4 linked regions of the Macaca fascicularis genome follow. The protein of the gene in region 4 purifies or fractionates together with the protein of the main gene of each other region. This does not show direct contact. Links are inferred from orthologs where the notes say so. Each region holds a gene or a part of one and is shown on either strand. Other genes may lie near its edges. The genes, in order: SKP2, PLEKHA7, CTNNA1 and CDH1.

Region 1 (5,107 bases), on a different chromosome or scaffold from region 4:
TGATTTAATATAAATTATTCCATATCCATTTGATGGACTATCACATAGCCACTGATGATGACATAATGTAGCCACTGAAAATGGGGTTATCTGGGGGGAAAAAAGCATATTACAAAGTATTTAATATACTATGTCCCATTTAAAAAAAACAGTGTTTGTACAGGAAAAAGCCTAGCAAGATGTTAGATTATTGATAATTTGCTTCCCTTTGCGTTTTTCTATATGTTGCATTTTTTAAAATGACTGTATAATGCTATGATCAGTTTTAAAATAGTAATTATAAATACTGGGTGGGGAGAGTGGTAAGAAATGAAGACATGATTGCTGCTTTTACGGCTTGCTAAAGAAAGTATTCACCTTGTCTGAAAATGCAAGTGTTTGGAATGGCAGTAGTCCAAATTTGAGTCCTTGCACAGGTGAAAGACTCAAATCTCTGCCCACTCATGAGAGGCTAGCAATTATTTTCTATAGCTTTATACATCTTACCAGAGGACGTCTGTCCTGGAGAAGTAGTTTTATACTACTTAAATTTTAAGATATATTCTGCAGATGTTTGATTCAAATCTTTTTCAGAATAATAAAAACTATAATAAACAAAATACACTCAAATAAGCTAGTACTAACATCGAGATACGGTTGATGTGTGTTGCTGGTTTAACTAGGTTTTGCATAGCCCACAAACTGAATGTTGGCCTGCGACGGTGAAGCCATTTAAAAAACTTGCCATTTGTAATCACTTATCTTTGCAAATCAAGATTTTCTCATTAACATACAAGTAACATACAAGATTTTCTCATTAACATTCAGTAACAAAGCGTAACTGAATATTAAGGTTTTTAAAGACTGTTCCCTGCTACCCCTGACTCCTAAGGCCTGTTTTCATCTAAAAAACCTCGTTGCCCTCTTGGACTGAATAAAAAGTAAAAGTCATAAATATGAACTTATTAACAGAGTTAATAACAGAGTTTTTCAACCTTGGAACTGATGTTTGGACCAGATTATTGTGCGTAATATGCTCCATCCTATACACCGTCCAGCAGCATCCTGGCTTCTGCCCAAGGAAGACCAGCAGCATTCCTACAGCTGTGACAATAAAAAATGTCTCCAGACATTGACAAATGTCCCCATACAGACAAAATAGCCCCATTAACTAATGAAGAACCACTATTTAATACTAATGAAATGCTACATTTATGTATTTTTATGTTGGAGTTTATCTAATCATTTAGTTGATTAAAAGTTTTTCTGCTTAAAAATAAATTGTTTTCAAGTGTAAAGGTTTCTACTGTTAGATCCTGAATTCAAACCTTGGCTCTAGCTCACTAGCTGTTTACCTTCACCTAACCCTTCTGATTTAGCAGCCACCTCATCTGCAAAAGGGGACTAACACATGCACTGGATTAAATGAGAAAACTTATGTGGAGGAACGATTAGGAGAAGCTCAATGAATCTCATCTATTACGTTGTGAAGGCCTCAGTGGTTCAGGCTTGGAAGCTCTAACCTGATTTCTGGAGGTTCTTTCTGTAGCCGCTAAGATTCAGCTGGGTGATGGTCTCTGACACATGCGCAACTGCCACCTGTACATGCTTTTCAGTGAAATCAAAACACCAGGAGAGGTTCAGCTCATCCAGTCTGCACAAAAGAGGGGTAATAAAGAAAATATGAAACCATGAAACCAATTAAAACTCACAGGAATGAGTTTGCCTCAAACCGCAAACAAAGAAAATGCAAAGCCATTGATTCCTTATCATTTCATGCATAGAACACCTGCTTCTCTAACAGCAGCTACCTCTAGTCTCCTAAGTATACCCTGTTTGCCCCTGAAAGTTGCCAGGGGATCAGAAGGGCCTTGGTGAATGCTGCCTCCTCCTGGAAATGGAGAGAAGCACTCTCTTCCTGATGGCTCAAACCTTATTCCAGTACTGCAGATAGAAATGCTAGTCTTTTATGTTTGCCTTCTCAGACTACCAACCACCCAACACAGACTGAACAATCACTCAGGATGTTTTATACAATTGAAGGATTGCACAAAAGAGATGCTGACATTGCAAAAAGCCACTTCATCTTACTGTGCCTCTGCTAACTGAGCAAAAACGAGGGTTTCAGAGACAAAATACAACCATGAATCCCCACTCCCCACTTCTGGCACTGCTGACTAAATATAGGGCTATACATTTGATCTCACTGATATCATTCATATCCGGAGGCAATCTATTTTAAATGGACCATTAACAAGACACAGATGTACCATGGAGACCAAGGGATATTTTTTAAAAACACACATATGCATAGTACTGTGTATTCCAAAAAGCATGTATTCCCCTCACTTAACAACATCTGTAACTCTGTACCCTTTATGTGCTGACATTATTATGAAAGCTATTGTTAATAGAATTGCCCAAATTTATGGTCTATATTTATAAAACACAAAATTTGATCAAAAATTGTAAGTTAGGTCTACAGATACCATAAGGGAAAAAACCTGAATGTATAGTTAAGTGTGAGTTGATTTCTTACAAATATACTGTTGACAGACACTACTATACTTCCCTTTCTTTAATAGTTCCAAATAAACAAAAGAGAGATAAAAAAGTATCGCTTGCAAACTCAATTGACTCGGCTCCTGAGTTTGGACAGAAAGTTTAGAGGACAAAAGACGCTGCATTCACCAAATCAAGAGCCTGGAAAGTTACAAAAAGCTCAAAAAGTTCATCCAATTTTATACAGATGTGAGGGATAATTTTACATTTGATATAAGAGTCTATAATCAAGTCACATCTTTCATACCTGGAACAGCTGCTTAGCAAAGTCTTCAGGGCAAATTCAGAGAATCCAGAACATCCAGAAAGGTTAAGCCGCACTAAATTTGAGTTTTGTGCGAGATTACTGGAAAAAGAGAAAAACGTCAGAAGAAAAAGACCAATAAGACGCTATTCATCAACAACATGTAGATGAAAGCAGGCAAGTGTAGTTAAGTTCATAGGTCTTTGAGTCAGTGAGTTTAAAATGTATATCACTATCTCTCAGACATCAAACAGGATAATTTGCCTCAGTTTACTCACCTGTGAAATGGCATTATCAAACCTTCTTGGTAGGGTTATCAAGAAGATTAAATGATATAATGTGATAAAAGACTTACTATGAAGCAAATACACAAGAATATCAATCAATGTACTTTTTGAATTAAAAACACAATGGAATAAACATATATCCATTTCACCCATAATTAGAATTAGCTTGCAAACTTCTACTTGTAAAATCACCAGGTTCTTTTGATTATACATCTCTCAAATTTGCCATCTTCTCTACTACATCCCCAAATGCCCTGTGTTAGTAAAACTTAGTGATTAAGAGTAAGAACTCTGGAAATAGTATATCACTAGGTTCACATCTTGGTTCAGCCACCTACTAACAGTGTGACCCTGAAAAGACTTATTCAGTCTCCCCATGTCTCAGTTTCCACAGCTATAAAAAGGAAACAAGTAAGATCACACTTCATGGGGTTGCTGTCAGAAGTAAATGAAAACGCATTTACAAAATTCACTATCTGGCACATAATACATGCCCCAAAACATTAGCTGCTATTATTGCTATCTGTTTTATATCAGACTTCAAAATTTCTCACTTGAATGAACACAGCAGTATCCTTAACTACTCTAGCTTCTTCTATCCTCGATGGACCCTCCATGGTGCCTGGCAAGTTCATTTCCTAAATTTCAACTCTTGACGTGTTCCTTCCACTCTCAGAACAACTCTCTCCACCATGCTTCCTTTTTTTTTTCAGATGGAGTTTTGCTCTTGTCACCGAGGCTGGAGTGCAGTGTCGTGGTCTCAGCTCATGGCAACCTCCGCCTCCCGGGTTCAAGTGATTCTCCTGCTTCAGTCTCCTGAGTAGCTGGGATTATAGGCATGCACCACCATACCCAGCTAAGTTTTGTATTTTTAGTAGAGACAGGGTTTCACCACGCTGGCCAGGCTGGTCTCAAACTCCTGACCTCAGGTGATCCGCCCACCTCAGCCTCCCAAAGTGCTGGGGTTACAGGTGTGAGCCACCGCACCTGGCCCATGCTTCCCTCTTGATGGAAGAGTCCATTCTTCTTACAGCAAGGCACAGGGGCCTATTACAATCTGGTCCCTGACTCTCCTCACCTCCTGTCATTCCCCTCCCTTAGTCCTGTGCTCCAGTAACTTCCAACCACGTAGAGTTTAGAACCACATAGGAAGCTTTACCTAGACTGGTTGCTTTATCTTATTACCTGGAGATCTCTTACCTAGATATCTTCAATACTCAAGAGTCACTTCCTTCCTCTAAGAAGGCGGCTCCTCGCGTGTTGCCACATATTCACCGAAATATTTAATAAACACACTAGCATGGTAATTATCTGTCTTGCTCATAAATAGTTTACCTTCTTGCAAGAGGAAACAGACATGTCTTGCTCGATGTTTCCTCTTGCAAGAAGGTAAACTATAGCTTAACCAGCATTCACTAACAATGTGGGAAAAGTTTTGGAGCATTCATTTTCTTCCAAATAATACACATGCATTGTTCATCCTTGTATCTCTAGAAACTAGCACAGGGCCTGGCATATAGTTAGCATTCAAGCTTCTGTTGCTTCAATGAGTCCTGAAAAGTTTTGCAGAAGCAAGAGCCCTGCACTAGAAATTTTCTGTATCCACCTGGATATGGCTAGAAGGGCACTCCAGTTATATATATATACAGGGAAAAAAATTCATACACATAAAAACAACTGCCTTTGCGACACTCCGGCTGCCACTCACTTGACAATGGGATCCGAAAGCCGCAGGCCTTCCAGGCTTAGATTCTGCAACTTGGAACACTGAGACAGTATGCCTTGGAGGGTGGACACTTCTATAACCGAGTTCGACAGGTCCATGTGCTGTACACGAAAAGGGCTAAACACGGAGAGAAAAAAGGGGCTCCATAGGTGGCTCTCACAGGTACATCCGATCAAATCAGACCCCTTTGTCTCCCCAAATGAGCAGTCAATCACAAACAAGACTCTAAATACATATTTCAAGCATTAACTATAGGGTCATAAAACAAATTGCTACTAGTGTATTCCCATCTTCATTCATTTTAAAATT
Region 2 (5,107 bases), on a different chromosome or scaffold from region 4:
CTCTGGAAGCTCCCACTTGCTCCCATGGGGTCTATACCTCAGCCACAGTACCACCTCCTCCTGTGTTCCTCCTCCATAGTCAGTTACCTTGTTTTGGCCCCTGGAGCCAGGGCTCACCATTGTACCGGTACCTTGGGGTCACTCCGAAATGGCAGACTATGTGTAAATGGAGGGTACAGCTTAGAGGATAAGCTCGGGGATTTGGGGTGCTGCTAGCGGGGCAGTGGAGAGGTGAGGGTGGACTCTGACCTTCCAGGCACTGTAGGCAGGCAAGGGAGTGAGCTGCAGAGCCAGCCGGGAAGGGCGTATGGGTGGGAGCACGGCTCTGAAATGCTTTGCATAGTTTACATTTTGCTTCTGACAGAATGAACAATGGTTAGTCAAGTCCCGAACTCCCCAGAGGAAGCCTCCAGCCTGGTTTCCGCCACCGCTACCACCTCAGTTTTGAGGATTCAGGCACTGCCCCGTCTCAGAGGCACATTTGTGTCTAACTTTGGGAAATCAATAGCAAACCCTGCCACCTAGTGACAGGCTGACTCACTTGGCAGGCGCGACAAGTAGGTTGAAGAGATCTTAAAGTTATCTCCTGCAATGGCAAAGATAGCTTTATTTGAATGACAACTATTTCAAATCCTCACAGCAATTTTCAAAATGGTTCTTACTATCCCCATTTTGTAATAAGGAAAGTGAGACTTAGAGGGCTTGGATGATACTTGCCTGAAGTCATATAGCTAAAGTGATTAAATGAGTTGAGTTTTAAAACAATTAGAACAGTTTCTCAAACTTTACAGAGCACTAGAATCTCCTGGAGGGCTTGTTAAGACACTGATGCCTGGGCGCCATCCCCTGATTAGGTAGGTCTGAGGTGGGGCTGATAACAAGCATTTTAAAAATATATCTTATTTTTAATTGACAAATAACGATTATATGTATGGGATAGATGTGGTGTTTTAATATATGTATACATTGTGAAATGATTACATCAAACCAATTGACATATTCATCACCTTATCTGCTTATTCTTTTTGGTGATAAGAACATTTAAAATCTACTTTTAGTAATTTTGAAATATACATTATTATTAACCATTGTCACTATGCCTGTGCTGTAGGTCACCAGAACTTATTCCTCCTAACTGAAACTTTGCACCCTTGGACCAACAGCTCCTCTTCCATCTCTCTTATCCCTCCCAAACCTCTGGTAACCACCTCTCTACTTTGTTCTTCTATGAGTTTGACCTTTTTAGATCCCACATATAAGTGAGGTCATACACAGTATTTGTCTTTCCATGCCTGGCTTATTTCATTAACTTGCATTTTTAACAAGTCCCCAGGTGGTGCTGATGCTGGTGGCACACAGGCCACACTTTGAGTAGTGTTGGCTTGGAACAATGTCTGCAACAATGTCAGCACCAAATAAATGTTAGATAAAATTGATAGGTGAAGGCGGAGTCAGAATTGACCTCAAGCCTGTCTGACTATAAAACTTGTTTTCTTTTTACAACATCATGCTGCCTCTCAGGCTTAGTAAAATTCCATACTTCGTCCCTTGCTTAATTTTTTTTCCTTCTCAGAAAATAAAGTGGAGGCTGGGCACGGTAGCTCATGCCTGTAATCCCAGCACTTTGATAGGCTAAGGCAGGCAGATCTCTTGAGGTCAGGAGTTCAAGACCAGCCTGGCCAACATGGTGAAACCCTGCTTCCACTAAAAATACAAAAATTAGCCAGGCATGGTGGTGCACACCTGTAGTCCCAGCTACTCAGAAGGCTGAGGCAGGAGAATCCCTTAAACCCGGGAGGTGGAGGTTGCAGTGAGCAGAGATTGCACCACTGCACTCCAGCCTGGGCAAAAGAGCAAGAATCTGTCTCAAAAAAGAAAGAAAATAAGATGCCTAGTTGGTGGTAGTTTTTGAAATCATATCCAGCTTTGTGTGCTGGAGTGTTTATTGAAGGGCTAATTATGCATAGGACTTTCTTAGACTGTGGACAATACCATGGTCTGAAACACAGCTCCTGTCTTTCAAGAATTTTCACCTTGGCCTGGGAAAACATGTCTTGCAAGTATGAAAAGATCACATCAATATAGGACCTTGGAAAAGTTACAGGCAGTGTGATAACTAGGTCAAACAGAGCTGGATCACTGAGGGCTGTGGCACTGCAGAAGGTCCACATGGGGAAGGCATGGGCCAGCATCCTGGAGAATGAGTAAGACTTGGGTAAATAGAGCAAGGGGAGACCATCCAGGTAGGGGGAGGGAAGAACAGTGTTATAAGAGTAAGGAGGGACAGGAAGGGTACACACGTTAGTGAAGGACCTTCTGTGTATCAGACATGGAGATTGCATTTCCTAACCTGTCTCATTGATTCCTCAGAAGAGCCTTATGAGGCAGGTAATACTGTCCTCATGTTAGAAGTAAGGAAATGGAAGTTCAGAGTCAGGTAAGCTGCCTAGGGTCACAAAGCCAGCAAGTATAAAGCTCGGCTTCAAACCCAGGTTAGACTCCTACCTTTCCTTTTTCCACTGCAAGATATTGCTCAGGTGTGGAGGAGGCTGGGCCAGGACTAGGGTGGGGCTGACTGTCAGGCACCAGCACGTGCAGGGGTGACCCTGAGATGGAGTACTTCCTTCAGTTTTGGGCCCTAGGCATTTGGCGTGGCCCTGGTAGGAAGAGCAGTGAGAAAATAGCAGGCCTGCAAGGTGGGTTGAGGTCAGCTGCTAGCGAGCTGTGAGTACCAGGCTGAGGAGTTTAGACTTTATTTCACAAGTGACAAGGAGCCATAGAAATTTTTGAAATAGGGAACTGATTTGATCAGAGCACTTGACTGTGGACAAAGTAGAAACCAGTTAGGAGCATCTCAAAGTTATCTGGAGGGAGATAATTAATCAGTATCTGGTCTAGAATAGTCCAGAAAAAAGAGAACTGATGCCAGCTACTTCCTTTATGAACCTCCAGAACTTGGTGCTAAGGATACCAAGCAGAGAGAAAATCTTGGTAACCTGGAGAATTGTGAGGCCTTTTCTATAAATATGCACAGCCGTGGAAAGAGCTGACTGCTGGCAGTGGAGAGAGAAGGAAAAGCCAGGTTTAATCACATTGCACTCCAATTGATGGGCATGGGGTAGCCAAGTTGTCCTGGCAGAGGAAGTTGACAGAGAAAAATGGTTTTGGAGTTGTCTGCAAAAAGGGGAAGTGACTGAAGTCCTGGATGTCAGCCTTGATCATTCTTTTGGGGTTCTCATAGGACTCTCCCACATGCCCAGCTTTGTGGGTTTACTTAGGTATATTCCCCAAAGCCTGGCAGAACCCTCACTTGGTGGCCTGACGTGTTCTTACCTTTTCTTCTCAGTCTTCCCTTGGACCAGACGCTTCCTCGCCAGGGTCCTGGCCAATCCCTGTCCTTCCCAGAAAACTACCAGACTCTTCCCAGGAGCACCCGACACCCCTCGGGGGGCTCCTCGCCACCTCCCCGAAACCTGCCAAGTGACTACAAGTACGCGCAGGACCGAGCCAGCCACCTGAAGATGTCGAGTGAAGAGCGCCGGGCGCACCGGGATGGCACCGTGTGGCAGCTCTATGAGTGGCAGCAGCGCCAGCAGTTCCGGCACGGCAGCCCCACGGCACCTATCTGCCTCGGCTCCCCAGAGTTCACTGACCAGGGCCGGAGCAGGAGCATGCTAGAGGTGCCCCGCTCCATCTCTGTGCCTCCATCTCCCTCGGACATCCCTCCCCCGGGACCCCCAAGGGTCTTCCCACCCCGGCGGCCACACACGCCAGCAGAACGAGTCACAGTGAAGCCACCGGACCAGAGGAGGAGTGTGGACATCTCACTGGGGGATTCTCCAAGGAAGGCACGGGGCCACGCTGTCAAGGTGAGGCTCGAGAAGCTCTGCCAGGCTGCTGGGTCAGCGTGAGGGTGCCAGGAGCCTTGCCTGGTTTGAACACAAATTTGAGTAATTTGGGATAATAATGATAGCTAATACTTAGGCAGTACATTTAATTTACATTTAAGATGCCAGGCACAGTTCCCAAAGGCTTCGCTTTAAATTCTCACCACAACCCTGTGAGGTAGGTGCTATGTTTATGCCCATTTCAAAGATGAGAACTCGGCCGGGCGCGGTGGCTCACGCCTGTAATCCCAGCACTTTGGGAGGCCGAGGCGGGCGGATCACAAGGTCAGGAGATCGAGACCACGGTGAAACCCCGTCTCTACTAAAAATACAAAAAATTAGCCGGGCGCGGTTGTGGGCGCCTGTAGTCCCAGCTACTCGGGAGGCTGAGGCAGGAGAATGGCGTGAACCCGGGAGGCGGAGCTTGCAGTGAGCCGAGATCGTGCCACTGCACTCCAGCCTGGGCGACAGAGCGAGACTCCGTCTCAAAAAAAAAAAAAAAAAAAAAAAAAGATGAGAACTCTGAGGCGCGGAGAGACAAAGTAACTTGCAGGGGGTCACACAACTACAAGTCAGCTTCCTTGCAGCTTGAAAGGCAGGAAAAGACATGTGTCCAGTCAGTTAAACTATTTATAACAACCCAGCTTAAGTTTTCACTTTCCAAGGGCTTTCACCGTTTAGTGTTCTAACCGTAAGAGTAAGATACGTGTGCTCATTTCATAGATGAGGAGTCTGGGGCTCAGAGGGGACCCAGGTGGCATGGGGCGGGCTGCCCTGGGAGTGGGTGGCAGAGGTTTGGGCTCCAGTGTGACTTCTTGTCTTCCCACTTGCAGAACTCGTCTCACGTGGACCGACGCTCCATGCCCTCCATGGGTTACATGACCCACACCGTCAGTGCTCCCAGTTTACATGGAAAATCGGTAAGGTGAATGACAAGACACAGCCTGCAATGCCCTATCTCATCAACGTTTTCCTTCCTCTGAGTCAGTACAATGCAGTCCACAGGGCAGCTATCAACTCCCATTTTAGAGATGAGGAAACTGAGACTCAGAGAAGTCGAATGACTTGCTTAGGGTCACCTGGCTGTCACTGGGTCCCCAATGAAGGGGAAGAGCTTGTGGGGGAATGTAGGGGAATGTTAGGCTTATCTCCTCTTTCAAGCTGAATTTTGCCATAAATGTTTTCCAGCTACTCACCTTTTTCCGCAGGTAGTGCCTCTC
Region 3 (5,107 bases), on a different chromosome or scaffold from region 4:
GGTCAGGAGTTCGAGACCAGCCTCCAATAAGGTGAAACCCCAACTATACTAAAAATACAAAAATTAGCCGGGTGTGGTAGCATACACCTGTAATCCCAGCTACTTGGAAAGCTGAGGCAGGAGAATCGCTTGAACCCAGAAGGTGGAAGTTGTGGTGAGCCAAGATCGCACCACTGCATCCCAGCCTGGGCGACAGCAAGACTCCAACTCAAAAAAAGAAAGAAAAGAAATGTCAATCACTAGACCCAGCAAACACTTGTCCAAACTCATCTGTTAATATAATTGTGAGCTTCGTTATAGCAGACAAGAAGGGCTGGGGAGGAGAATGTACCACAGAATACAATTAAGTAATAGCCTGATCTCTTCAACATCAAGCTCAAAAAAATTGTCCTGAACTGGACCATTAAACTACTTTAAAATAAATTAATTCAAAACCCACTGTACTGGGCTGAATAGCATCGCCCAAAAATTCACGTCCACCTGGAACCTGTGAATGTAACTTTATTTGGAAACAGTCTTTGCAGATGGTATCAAGTTACAATGAGGTTATACTGGAGTAAGGTGGGCCCTAATTCAATGCTTGATGTCCTTATAAGAAGAAGGAAATTTGGACACAGAGACACAAAAAAAGAAAAGTATATGATAACAAAAGCAGAGACTGGAGTAATGAGTCTACAAGCCAAGGAATGCTAAGGACTGCTGGCAACCACCAGAAGCTAGGAAAAAGGCATGCACAGATTCTTCCTAAGTCCCAACAAGGAATCAAGCCTGCCAACACCTCGATTTCAGATTTCTGCACTTCAGAATCATGAGAGAATAAATTTCTATTATTCTAAGCCACCAAGCTTGTCATAGTTTATGTTACAGAAGCCCTAGGAAACTAATATACCTGCTTAATTAGTACTGTGGAATTCTAATAATTTCATTTTCAGTATTAGAAATATTTATCTTCAGCCTGAAAACTGAAAAAATATTTACCACTGAAGGTTATTTGTTCACAAATTCAGAAAACAACTGGAGATGTCATCTCCATCTAAGACACTGCCCATTTTAGGGTACTGCCACAAGGATGAATTTGACATAAGACTCTGGACTATGCAATCTACCATCAGGTATGAAAGATCTATGAAGTTCTCCCAAGGGCTAGTAGAGCACCTGTAAATAGCAGGGCTCAATTTACCTTAGCTGATAGCCAATAACCTAAAAAACCTACAGCATTGTTGAAATTCTCTGACTGGAATAGAAACCTAACACAAAACCACAGGTTTCAAGGGTGGGGGCTGTGGCTCATGCCTGCAATCCCAGCACTTTGGGAGACCGAGGCAGGTGGATTGTTTGAGCTTGGGAGTTTGAGACCAGCATGAGCCACTGGTGAAACCCCATCTCTACTAAAAATAAAAACTGCAGGTTTCGAGAAGTTTACTTTCCATATTTAAAGTCTTCCTTCCACACTTGTAACACAGTAAGGACAATTTTTCTAGCATTAATTACTGGTAAACTGTGGATTACCATTTTACTTTTTATCAATTCTGAGTTTCCCAAAACATGATTCCTTTATGCCCAGATTTATTTAAGTCAAGCTCCAACCAGTGCAAATATGCATGGCTGATTTAACATACTAATCTGACATAACAGAACAATTTCTAGAGTATTTTCAGAGTAGGTATTTTTCTATTTTATCACACCCATCTCTTCAGCATGAATTAAAAAGTATTACATAGAATGAAAGGTAAACTTCTGTCCCATGTTTCCTATCAAATTGTGTTACAACATTTCTAAGACTTAACTATTACTTGAAACACCCAAGAGAAGTGGATTCAGATTCTCCAGATGTCCCTTTGCAAGCATCTCTCATGATTAAAATTTGAGCCAGTCCAACTTAATACATCTCCGATAACTAAGTTACTGAGCAATTGGCAAGCATGAGAATGAGAATTAAAATATGATCCAGTCCAAGTTAATACATCTCCAATAACTGAGTAAGTTACTGAGCAATTGGCAAGCATGAGAACTGAGAATACTGACCACAAAAAAAATCTCCTTCAAACACTTATTTTCTAGAAAGGCCTGCCTCTCTTTACATGAAAAGCAGTAATGACCTACCTTGTTTTCGAACATCTTCTACAGCAGCCACAAGCTCCTCCTTGAGAAACTGGCTCTCCTTCGCAATTTTATCCCCCTTCTCCAAGAAATTCTCAGTTGCTTGTTCAACAGATGCAGCCAAAACATGAGCCTTCTTAGAACGACCTCTCTTCTTATTAGAGGGCCCCTTACTATTGGTGTTTACCAGGGTTGTAACCTAAAAGTTTCATTTTTAACATTAAACTGGAGTCAATTAAAATGACTAATATCTTTAAAGATAGCAAGATTAAGTTATTCTTTAAAAAAATCACATTTATGAGATTCCACTGAGCATTAACATACAATTCCCCATATTTAAGATATACAGCAATGATACTATATTTAATTTCCAAAATAACTCAGCTTTCTCAATGTGTACAGAATTATTTAACACATATTTTAATTTCTCAAATATGATCATTAGGTTTTTAGTTTGATTTTACAAATTAAAAAATGATTAGAGACAAGCTAGATGTCTCTACTATATGTCACCCATATAGTATCTGGAACACTCTATGTTCCAGAAATAGGTTAACAATGAACTTAGCTTTATCTGGAGATCGTACTGCCACTGTTTTCAAACTTTGCAAAATGTTTTAAGATAATTTGCTTCTGAAGTCTTTTCACGGTTTATTCACACAAATCTCAGCAATTTATTAGTAAAGGCCCCTAATAAAGGAATGACTGCCCAAAGAAGCCTACAGTGATGATGCTTTATGTCCTAGAACATTACCATCATTAATACACATAATACCGGATGATCTGTAGGTTAAAGATGATTAAGATATGTTACAGTGCAAATTTGCCAAACAAGACTCATTTTCTCTCTCTCTCTGAATCTCTCACATACAGACAACAGACACACTATTGCAAAACACTAAAGGTACACAGCTAGTTGCTAACAGTTTATGAACCACCCTAACATTGTGACATTTATAACATAATATACCAAACCTAAACCCTCAAGTTCAATTACCTGCTAATTAATCCCACACAATGAAAGGTGTGTTAAGCAGAGTGAGACACCTTAACAATCAAGGATCCAGATCCCACCTTTCTTGGGTTTCCCCTCTAAAGAAAGGTGAAGTATCTGCAAAGCACAAACATTTGCAAAGTTGCACTACATACCACGGACCCCAGTTACTAGCAATAAGACCGAAGAAAATGACCACAGCAGCGTTCTCAAAGGGTTAAACAAACCCATGCATCAATATTCAAATCATCTAAGAACTGTCACCTAAACTCAAGTACTGGAATTAAGGCTTTGAACTAAATAACCTTGCTCTTATGGTTGTTACCCAGGCCTGTACTATAGAACCAGGTTACAATGTATTTGTGTTTTCAGATTCTTACCTGTGTAACAAGAGGCTCCAACAGTCTCTCAACTGCCAGAGTCCTGATCTCTAGACTTTTGGGATCCCACTTGAAGTTTATGTTGCCTGCCTGGACAGCAGTCATTTCTAAAAAAGAAACAAAAAATCAGTCAAGCAAACATCAAACACAAACATGAAATATGTAACAAATCTTCTCCTACTTAAATCTTCTCCTACTTTGGGACTTTTGCATCAGGAAAGTTATATTCACTACAGATGAAAAAATTCTAACTAGCCTGCACATGAGGACCCAGTAAACCTTACAATCTCTTAAAATTTAATCATTTCAGGCTTACAAATACTAGGGGTACTACAAGAGGGCATTCCCAAACACACAGAACGTTTCCCTTTGGGCTTCTCTAGCGCAAGACTTCCTACTTCAGTTCCTACTCAGTTTATCTGCCCAATCTTTTAGAAACAAGATGAAAAGCTAAAGTAAACCTTTTTTTTTTTTTTTTTTTCTTTTTCTTTTTTTGAGACGGAGTCTCACTCTTTCGCCCAGGCTGGAGTGCAGTGGTGTGATCTCGGATCACTGCAAGCTCCACCTGCCGGGTACACACCATTCTCCTGCCTCAGCCTCCCAAGTAGCTGGGACTACAGGCGCCCGCCACCACGCCCAGCTAATTTTTTTGCATTTTCAGTAGAGACAGGGTTTCACCGTGTTAGCCATGATAGGATAGTCTCGATCTCCTGACTTCGTGATCCACCCGCCTTGGCCTCCCAAAGTGCTGGGATTACAGGTGTGAGCCACCACGCCCAGCCGAAAGCTACTTTCAAAGACATTGCTTCAAAAACGAATACAGAAGATCCTGATTTTTCCTACTCCACAACATTTATGGTATAGTAGTATCTAAAAGGTATGCCTCACTTCATTTTTTGATGGATTCCTAGAGAAGGACTTGTCCTATTCTATTAAAACTTAATGCTTAATCGGTTGCCCTCTGCACCCACAGCTATTATCACTCATAGCCAGAAGAAATTTCAAATCACACTTAGTCAAATATCACTGTATCAGTGTCAAGGGAAACTTCTGTCAGACAGCAGCTTTAAGAATAGGGAGAAAACATCAACGAAAATAACAGTCTTTTCTTCTAAAAGTAGTGCCTTAAATTATTAAAGAAAAAAAAAGAAAAGGCATGAAGTTGAGGTAAACACTAATATAAACTTTCTAGACAACGAACTGCTGGTAGACACCTAAAAGCATAAAGGCTGGGCGTGGTGGCTCACTCCTGTAATCCCAGCACTTTGGGAAGCCAAGGTGGGCAGATCACCTGAGGTCGGGAGTTCGAGAACAGCCTAACACAGAGAAACCCTGTCTCTATTAAAAATACAAAACTAGCCAGGCTGCTGGTGCACGCCTGTCATCTCAGCTACTCAGGAGGCTGAGGCAGGAGAATCGCTTGAACTTGGGAGGCAGAGGTTGCAGTGAGCCGAGATCACGCCATTATACTCCAGCTTGGGCAACAAGAACAAAACTCCAACTCAAAAATAATAATAAAACAAAAATTTTTTTTAAAGAAAAGCTTAAAAAAGTACCTTCCTGACCCAGAAAATCTACTGCTAAAATTCTATTCTAAAATTAAGAAACATGTAAAAACTTGGATACAATGATG
Region 4 (5,609 bases):
TAGAAAGCTCTAGAGCACACAGAGCAAATATACTTCATCAGTCGAGCTGTAGTTTCTCTGTAAAAAACTTCGAATGAGGCCGGGCGCGGTGGCTCAAGCCTGTAATCCCAGCACTTTGGGAGGCCGAGGCGGGCGGATCACAAGGTCAGGAGATCGAGACCACAGTGAAACCCCGTCTCTACTAAAAAAATACAAAAAATTAGCCGGGCGCGGTGGCGGGCGCCTGTAGTCCCAGCTACTCAGGAGGCTGAGGCAGGAGAATGGCGGGAACCCGGGAGGCGGAGCTTGCAGTGAGCCGAGATCGCGCCACTGCACTCCAGCCTGGGCAACAGCGTGAGACTCCGTCTCAAAAAAAAAAAAAAAAACAAAACAAAACAAAAAAAAACTTCGAATGACTTCCAAGTTCAAAAAAAAATTTAAAGACAACAGCATGATTGCTAAAGATTCATGTGGTCAAAGACCAGAAGAATAGACACAATGGAGGTGTTCCCTCAGGGGAATTGTGGGTGATTTCTCCTTAAAAAAAAATATGCCTTTTATTGTGATATCCAATCAACTAAAATCATGAGAGAGGAGAAAGTGGTTTGATATAAAGTAAGCACTCGGGATTCAGTGAATTCAGAAGAGAAACTAGCCCCTTCCCTTGCTCCCTGGACAACAGTGGAGTGGAACAAAGCAAACTCTAGATTATCACAAAGATAAGCCTAGAAGTACATTGGGTGTATGCATTTTCATCCTGAGTCAGAACTACCATGCTTTTTTTTTAAAAAAAAGATAATTATTCCTGGCCAGGCATGGTGGCTTATGCCTGTAATCCCAGCACTTTGGGAAATTGAGTCAGGTGGTCTCCTGAGGTCAGGAGTTCAAGACCAGCCTGGCCAACATGGTGAAACTCCTTCTCTACTAAAAATACAAAAAATTAGCTGGGCATGGTGGTGGGCACCTGTAATCCCAGCTACTCAGGAGGCTGAGGCAGGAGAATCATTTGACCCTGCGAGCCAGAGGTGGCAGTGAGCTGAGATCACACCATTACAACACTCCAGCCTAGGCAACAAGATTAAAACTCTGTCTCAAAAAAAAAAAATCATTATTTCTTGGGGGAAACAGTACCTGTAACAAGGTATTTTGGTTCAGGCACAGTGTCTCAGGCCTGCAATCCCAGCACTTTGGGAGGCTGAGACAGAAGGATCCTTTGAGCCCAAGAGTTCGACACCAGCCTGGGCAACATGGAGAGACTCCTGTTTCTAAAAAAAATTTATTTTAGTTTATTTTTTGGAACAGAGTCTTGCTCTGTCACCCAGGCTCGAGTGCAGTGGCACTATCTCAGCTCACTGCAACCTCCACCTCCTGGGTTCAAGCAATTCTCCTGCCTCCTCCTGAGTAGCTAGGATTACAGGTGCACGCCACCATGCCCAGCTAATTTTTGTATTTTTTTTAGTAGAGACAGGGTTTCATCATGTTGGCCAGGTTGGTCTCGAACTCCTAACCTTGTGATCCACCCGCCTCGGCCTCCCAAAGTGCTGGGATTACAGGTGTGAGCCACTGCGCCCAGCCTTAAAAAAATGTTAAAATTGGCCGGGCGCAGTGGCTCAAGCCTGTAATCCCAGCACTTTGGGAGGCCGAGACGTGCGGATCACGAGGTCAGGAGATCGAGACCATCCTGGCTAACACGGTGAAACCCCGTCTCTACTAAAAACTACAAAAAACTAGCCGGGCGAGGTGGCGGGCGCCTGTAGTTCCAACTACTCGGGAGGCTGAGGCAGGAAAATGGCGTAAACCCGGGAGGCGGAGCTTGCAGTGAGCTGAGATCCGGCCACTGCACTCCAGCCTGGGTGACAGAGCGAGACTCCGTTTCAAAAAAAAAAAAAGTTAAAATTATCCAGGTATGGTGGCACATGCCTGTGATAACCAGCTACTAGGGAGACTGAGGTGGGAAGGATCACTTGAGCCCAGAGGATGGAGGCTGCAGTAAGCTGTGATTGTGCCACTGCACTCCAGCTTGGGAAACAGAGCAAGACCCTTTTTTTTTTTTTTAAAAAAAAAAAAAAAAAAAAAAAAAAGCTTTAATATCTATAAACAAAAGCCACAGCCCAGTAACCAAGAGAGAGCTGCTCTTCAGTCATCCCAGAGATGGTGCTTAATGGGGCTTGGGAGTCAGGTCCCAGTTCAGATACCTGCTCTGCTGACCCTGGGCAAGTAGACGTCACCCTCTCAGCCTCGGTTTGCTCATCTGTAAAACGGGAATATTCCTGCCGGAGCCTTCCCACCCACCAGGTTTTTGCAGTCTGAAATGGGACACTGTCTCTACAGTGCTGAGGGCAATAAGAGAAATACGAAGGCTTCTAGTAAGTGCCCTCAACCTCTGCTTTTTTATAACATGGTTAACAACCAGGCAGGGCTACCCCCTCCACCAGTGCTCAGTCGTAAACGTTTGGATCCCCAAATCTGTGTAAATTCCAAGGGGTGTCGTTTGAGCCAAGGAGAGAGCTTGCCCATTCCAACCCAGGGGTGTGGGAGTGCAATTTCTCGGCCCCTTTCCAACCCCACCCTACTCCGCCCAGGGACACCGGCGGCGCGCCCTCACCTCTGCCCAGGACGCGTCCTCTCTCCAGGTGCCGCCGGGGCACCGTGAACGTGTAGCTCTCGGCGTCAAAGCCGGGGTGGCAGGGCTCCGGCTCCTGGCAGAGCCAAGACGAGACCTGGGGTGGGGAAAAGGTAGATGGAACCGGGTGACTCGGAGGGTTCCCTCCAGCTCACCGAAACCAACAACGCCGCCCCTCCCTCGCTCCCGGCGTCGGGATTGGGGGAGGACCCCCGCCCCCAACCTCGGGCAGGGCGGGCAGCGACGTCACCCTCCCCCACCCCGAAACCTACGGCCGCCAAGCCCCCAGAAACTCCCGGAAGGGGGCCGCCGAGTCACCCCCTCGAGACCTAGCCCATCGTTCTTTTCGGTCTCCTTTCTCATTTTATTGGAGATGTCTTTATTCTCCCCAACCCCACTTTCCTTAGACCGGGAATGCACCACTCCTTAGAGCGAGGGGCGCTCCCACCTCCCCCGACCCCACTTTCTTATCCCCGGGACTCCCACTTCTATTTACGACCTTTCTTGGCATAGCAGGTGCCTTTATTTCTACGGATGCCCCTCTCCTTCCCTCGAGGATCGTCCCCACGACTCCTGGCTCCCCCTCGACTTGCACCGGGGCTCCCCTTCTCCACACCCCACCCCCCACACCCCGCTCCACGACCCCCGCGCCAGCCCAAGCCCACCCCGCGGACTCGGAAGCCAGACGCCCCCGCCTCGGTCTGCGCTGGAGGGGCAGCAAAGCCGCGCTCGCCCCTCACCACCCACGCCCCACTCCCATCACTGCGGGGTCCGGAGCGCGCGAGGCTTCCAGGCCGCTCGGCTCCTCGGGACCCGAACTTTCTTGGAAGAAGGGAAGCGGTGACTACGGGAGAGGAAGGGGCGCAGGGCTGGGGCGGGGGGCTGGGGCGCAGAGTGTGCGGCCCGCACGCGTCCCTCGCAAGGCAGGGGACCCGAAGTACCTGCAGCAGCAGCAGCAGCGCCGACAGGCTGCGGCTCCAAGGGCCCATGGCTGGCCGGGGACGCCGAGCGAGGGCAGGGGCGGGGTGCGGTCGGATCGGGCCGGGCTGGATCGGGCTGGAGTCTGAACTGACTTCCGCGAGCTCACAGGTGCTTTGCAGTTCCGACGCCACTGAGACTGGGGTGCGCTGCTGCCGCCAGGTGTGCCTCGGAGGGACCGCCCCCCGTACCGCTGATTGGCTGAGGGTTCACCTGCCGGCCACAGCCAATCAGCAGCGCGGACCCCTCCCCCGGACGGAGCTAACGGCCCGCCCCCCCGGCCTCGCGCAGACCCGGTGACCCTCTAGCCTGGAGTTGCTAGGGTCTAGGTGGGTTATGGGACCTGCACGGTTCTGATTCCACTGGGTTCGAATCCCAGCACCGCTGGTGGCTCACTAAGACCTGGGATCAGAAAGGGCTTTTACACTTGGCTGAGTTCTTTTGTTTTTTGGGGTTTGTTTTTGTTTTTGTTTTTTTGTTTGTTTTGGAAATGAGGTCTCACCCTTTCACCCAGGCTGGAGTGCAGTGGTGCGATCACAGCTCACTGCAGCCTTGAACTGGCCTCAAACAGTCCTCTGGCCCCAGCCTCTCTAGTAGCTGGGAGTACAGGTGCACACGACCACACCAGGCTAATTTTTTTTTTCTTTTGTCTTTTTGTAGAGAGACGAGTCGGGGCAGACAGGGGCAGTGGGGGCGCTGTGTCTCCCTATATTGCCCAGCCTGGTCTCCAACTCCTGGGCTGAAGTGATCCTCCTTCCTTGGCCTCCCAAAGTACTGGGCTTATAGGTGTGAACCACGAGCCACTGAGCTAGCAGCCTAATTTTTTGTGTGTTTTGTTTGTTTGTTTTTTGAGACAGAGTCTCACTCTGTCTTGCCCAGGCTGGAGTGCAGTGGCACGATCTTGGCTCACTGCAACCTCTGCCTGCTGGGTTCAAGCGACTCTCCTGTCTCAGCCTATTGAGTAGCTGGGACTACAGGCTTGTGCCACCAGACCAACTAATTTTGTATTTTTAGTACAGATGGGGTTTCACTGTGTCGGCCAGGCTGGTCTGGAACTCCTAACCTCAGGTGATCCACCCTCTTCCGCCTCCTGAAGTGCTGGGATTACAGGCGTGAGCCACTGCAACCTGCCTCAAGTGGCCTAATTTTTAAAAAAATTTTTCTAGAGACGGGATCTCACTATGTTGCCCAGGCTGATCTCAAATTTCTGACCTCAGGTGATACTCCTGCCTCAGCCCCTTTATTGAGTTCTTATTTTTTAATCTAGTCTTTTTTTAACTGCAGGGCTCCATGGGTTAGTGAGTCAGCAAATTGATTCCCTAGGTCAGGACCACCTCCCAAAGCCTCAGTTTCTCCACCCTCCTAATGGGAATAATGATCAGAAATGTCTCCCTATGTTGTTGTGAGGCTCCCATACAATAAATGACAAATGTTTCTTGAGCCATAAATGCTCTGTACAGAAGTGAGGGGTAAAAATAGTAACAACAGGGCCGGGTGCAGTGGCTCACGCCTGTAATTCCAGTACTTTGGGAGGCCGAGGCGGGCGGATCACGAGGTCAGGAGATCGAGACCATCCTGGCTAACACAATGAAACCCCATCTCTACTAAAAATACAAAAAATTAGCCAGGCATGGTGGTGGGTGCCTATAGTCCCAGCTACTTGGGAGACTGAGGCAGGAGAATGGTGTGAACCCGGGAGGCAGAGCTTGCAGTGAGCTGAGATCGCGCCACTGCACTCCAGCCTGGGTGACGGAGGGAGAGTCTGTCTCAAAAAAAAAAAAAACAGTAACGATAGGTGCTAGGCATTGAAGATTACTGTGCCAGTCTCTGTACTAAGCATTTGACACTGACCAGCTCTTTTTTTTTTTTTTTTTTTTTTTTTTTTTTGAGATGGAATCCTGCTCTGTCTCCCAGGCTGGAATGCAATGGTGTGATCTTGGCTCACTGCAACCTTCGCCTCTTGGGTTCAAGTGGTTCTCCTGTCTCAGCCTCCTGAGTAGCTAGGATTACGGGCATGCGCCACCACAAC

Evidence for each region.
Region 1: the proteins of CDH1 (region 4) and SKP2 purify together in Homo sapiens (affinity purification with western blotting; 3 studies listed by BioGRID and IntAct, with this or other methods). This does not show direct contact. The link is inferred for Macaca fascicularis from reciprocal best matches to the Homo sapiens genes CDH1 and SKP2.
Region 2: the proteins of CDH1 (region 4) and PLEKHA7 purify together in Homo sapiens (co-immunoprecipitation; 3 studies listed by BioGRID and IntAct, with this or other methods). This does not show direct contact. The link is inferred for Macaca fascicularis from reciprocal best matches to the Homo sapiens genes CDH1 and PLEKHA7.
Region 3: the proteins of CDH1 (region 4) and CTNNA1 purify together in Homo sapiens (affinity purification with western blotting; 10 studies listed by BioGRID and IntAct, with this or other methods). This does not show direct contact. The link is inferred for Macaca fascicularis from reciprocal best matches to the Homo sapiens genes CDH1 and CTNNA1.

The regions. Positions count from the first base shown.
Region 1 is NC_088380.1:36,457,192-36,462,298, reverse strand, and holds part of SKP2 (S-phase kinase-associated protein 2), read right to left. Parts: intron 4,916-5,107; coding exon 4,781-4,915; intron 2,888-4,780; coding exon 2,789-2,887; intron 1,634-2,788; coding exon 1,503-1,633; intron 1-1,502. UniProt on the Homo sapiens protein: Substrate recognition component of a SCF (SKP1-CUL1-F-box protein) E3 ubiquitin-protein ligase complex which mediates the ubiquitination and subsequent proteasomal degradation of target proteins involved in cell cycle progression, signal transduction and transcription.
Region 2 is NC_088388.1:48,947,267-48,952,373, forward strand, and holds part of PLEKHA7 (pleckstrin homology domain-containing family A member 7), read left to right. Parts: intron 1-3,346; coding exon 3,347-3,869; intron 3,870-4,720; coding exon 4,721-4,807; intron 4,808-5,107. UniProt on the Homo sapiens protein: Required for zonula adherens biogenesis and maintenance. Acts via its interaction with CAMSAP3, which anchors microtubules at their minus-ends to zonula adherens, leading to the recruitment of KIFC3 kinesin to the junctional site.
Region 3 is NC_088380.1:145,281,201-145,286,307, reverse strand, and holds part of CTNNA1 (catenin alpha-1), read right to left. Parts: intron 3,582-5,107; 5' UTR 3,580-3,581; coding exon 3,475-3,579; intron 2,300-3,474; coding exon 2,104-2,299; intron 1-2,103. UniProt on the Homo sapiens protein: Associates with the cytoplasmic domain of a variety of cadherins. The association of catenins to cadherins produces a complex which is linked to the actin filament network, and which seems to be of primary importance for cadherins cell-adhesion properties.
Region 4 is NC_088394.1:64,816,423-64,822,031, reverse strand, and holds the start of CDH1 (cadherin-1), read right to left. Parts: upstream 3,716-5,609; 5' UTR 3,592-3,715; coding exon 3,544-3,591; intron 2,700-3,543; coding exon 2,585-2,699; intron 1-2,584.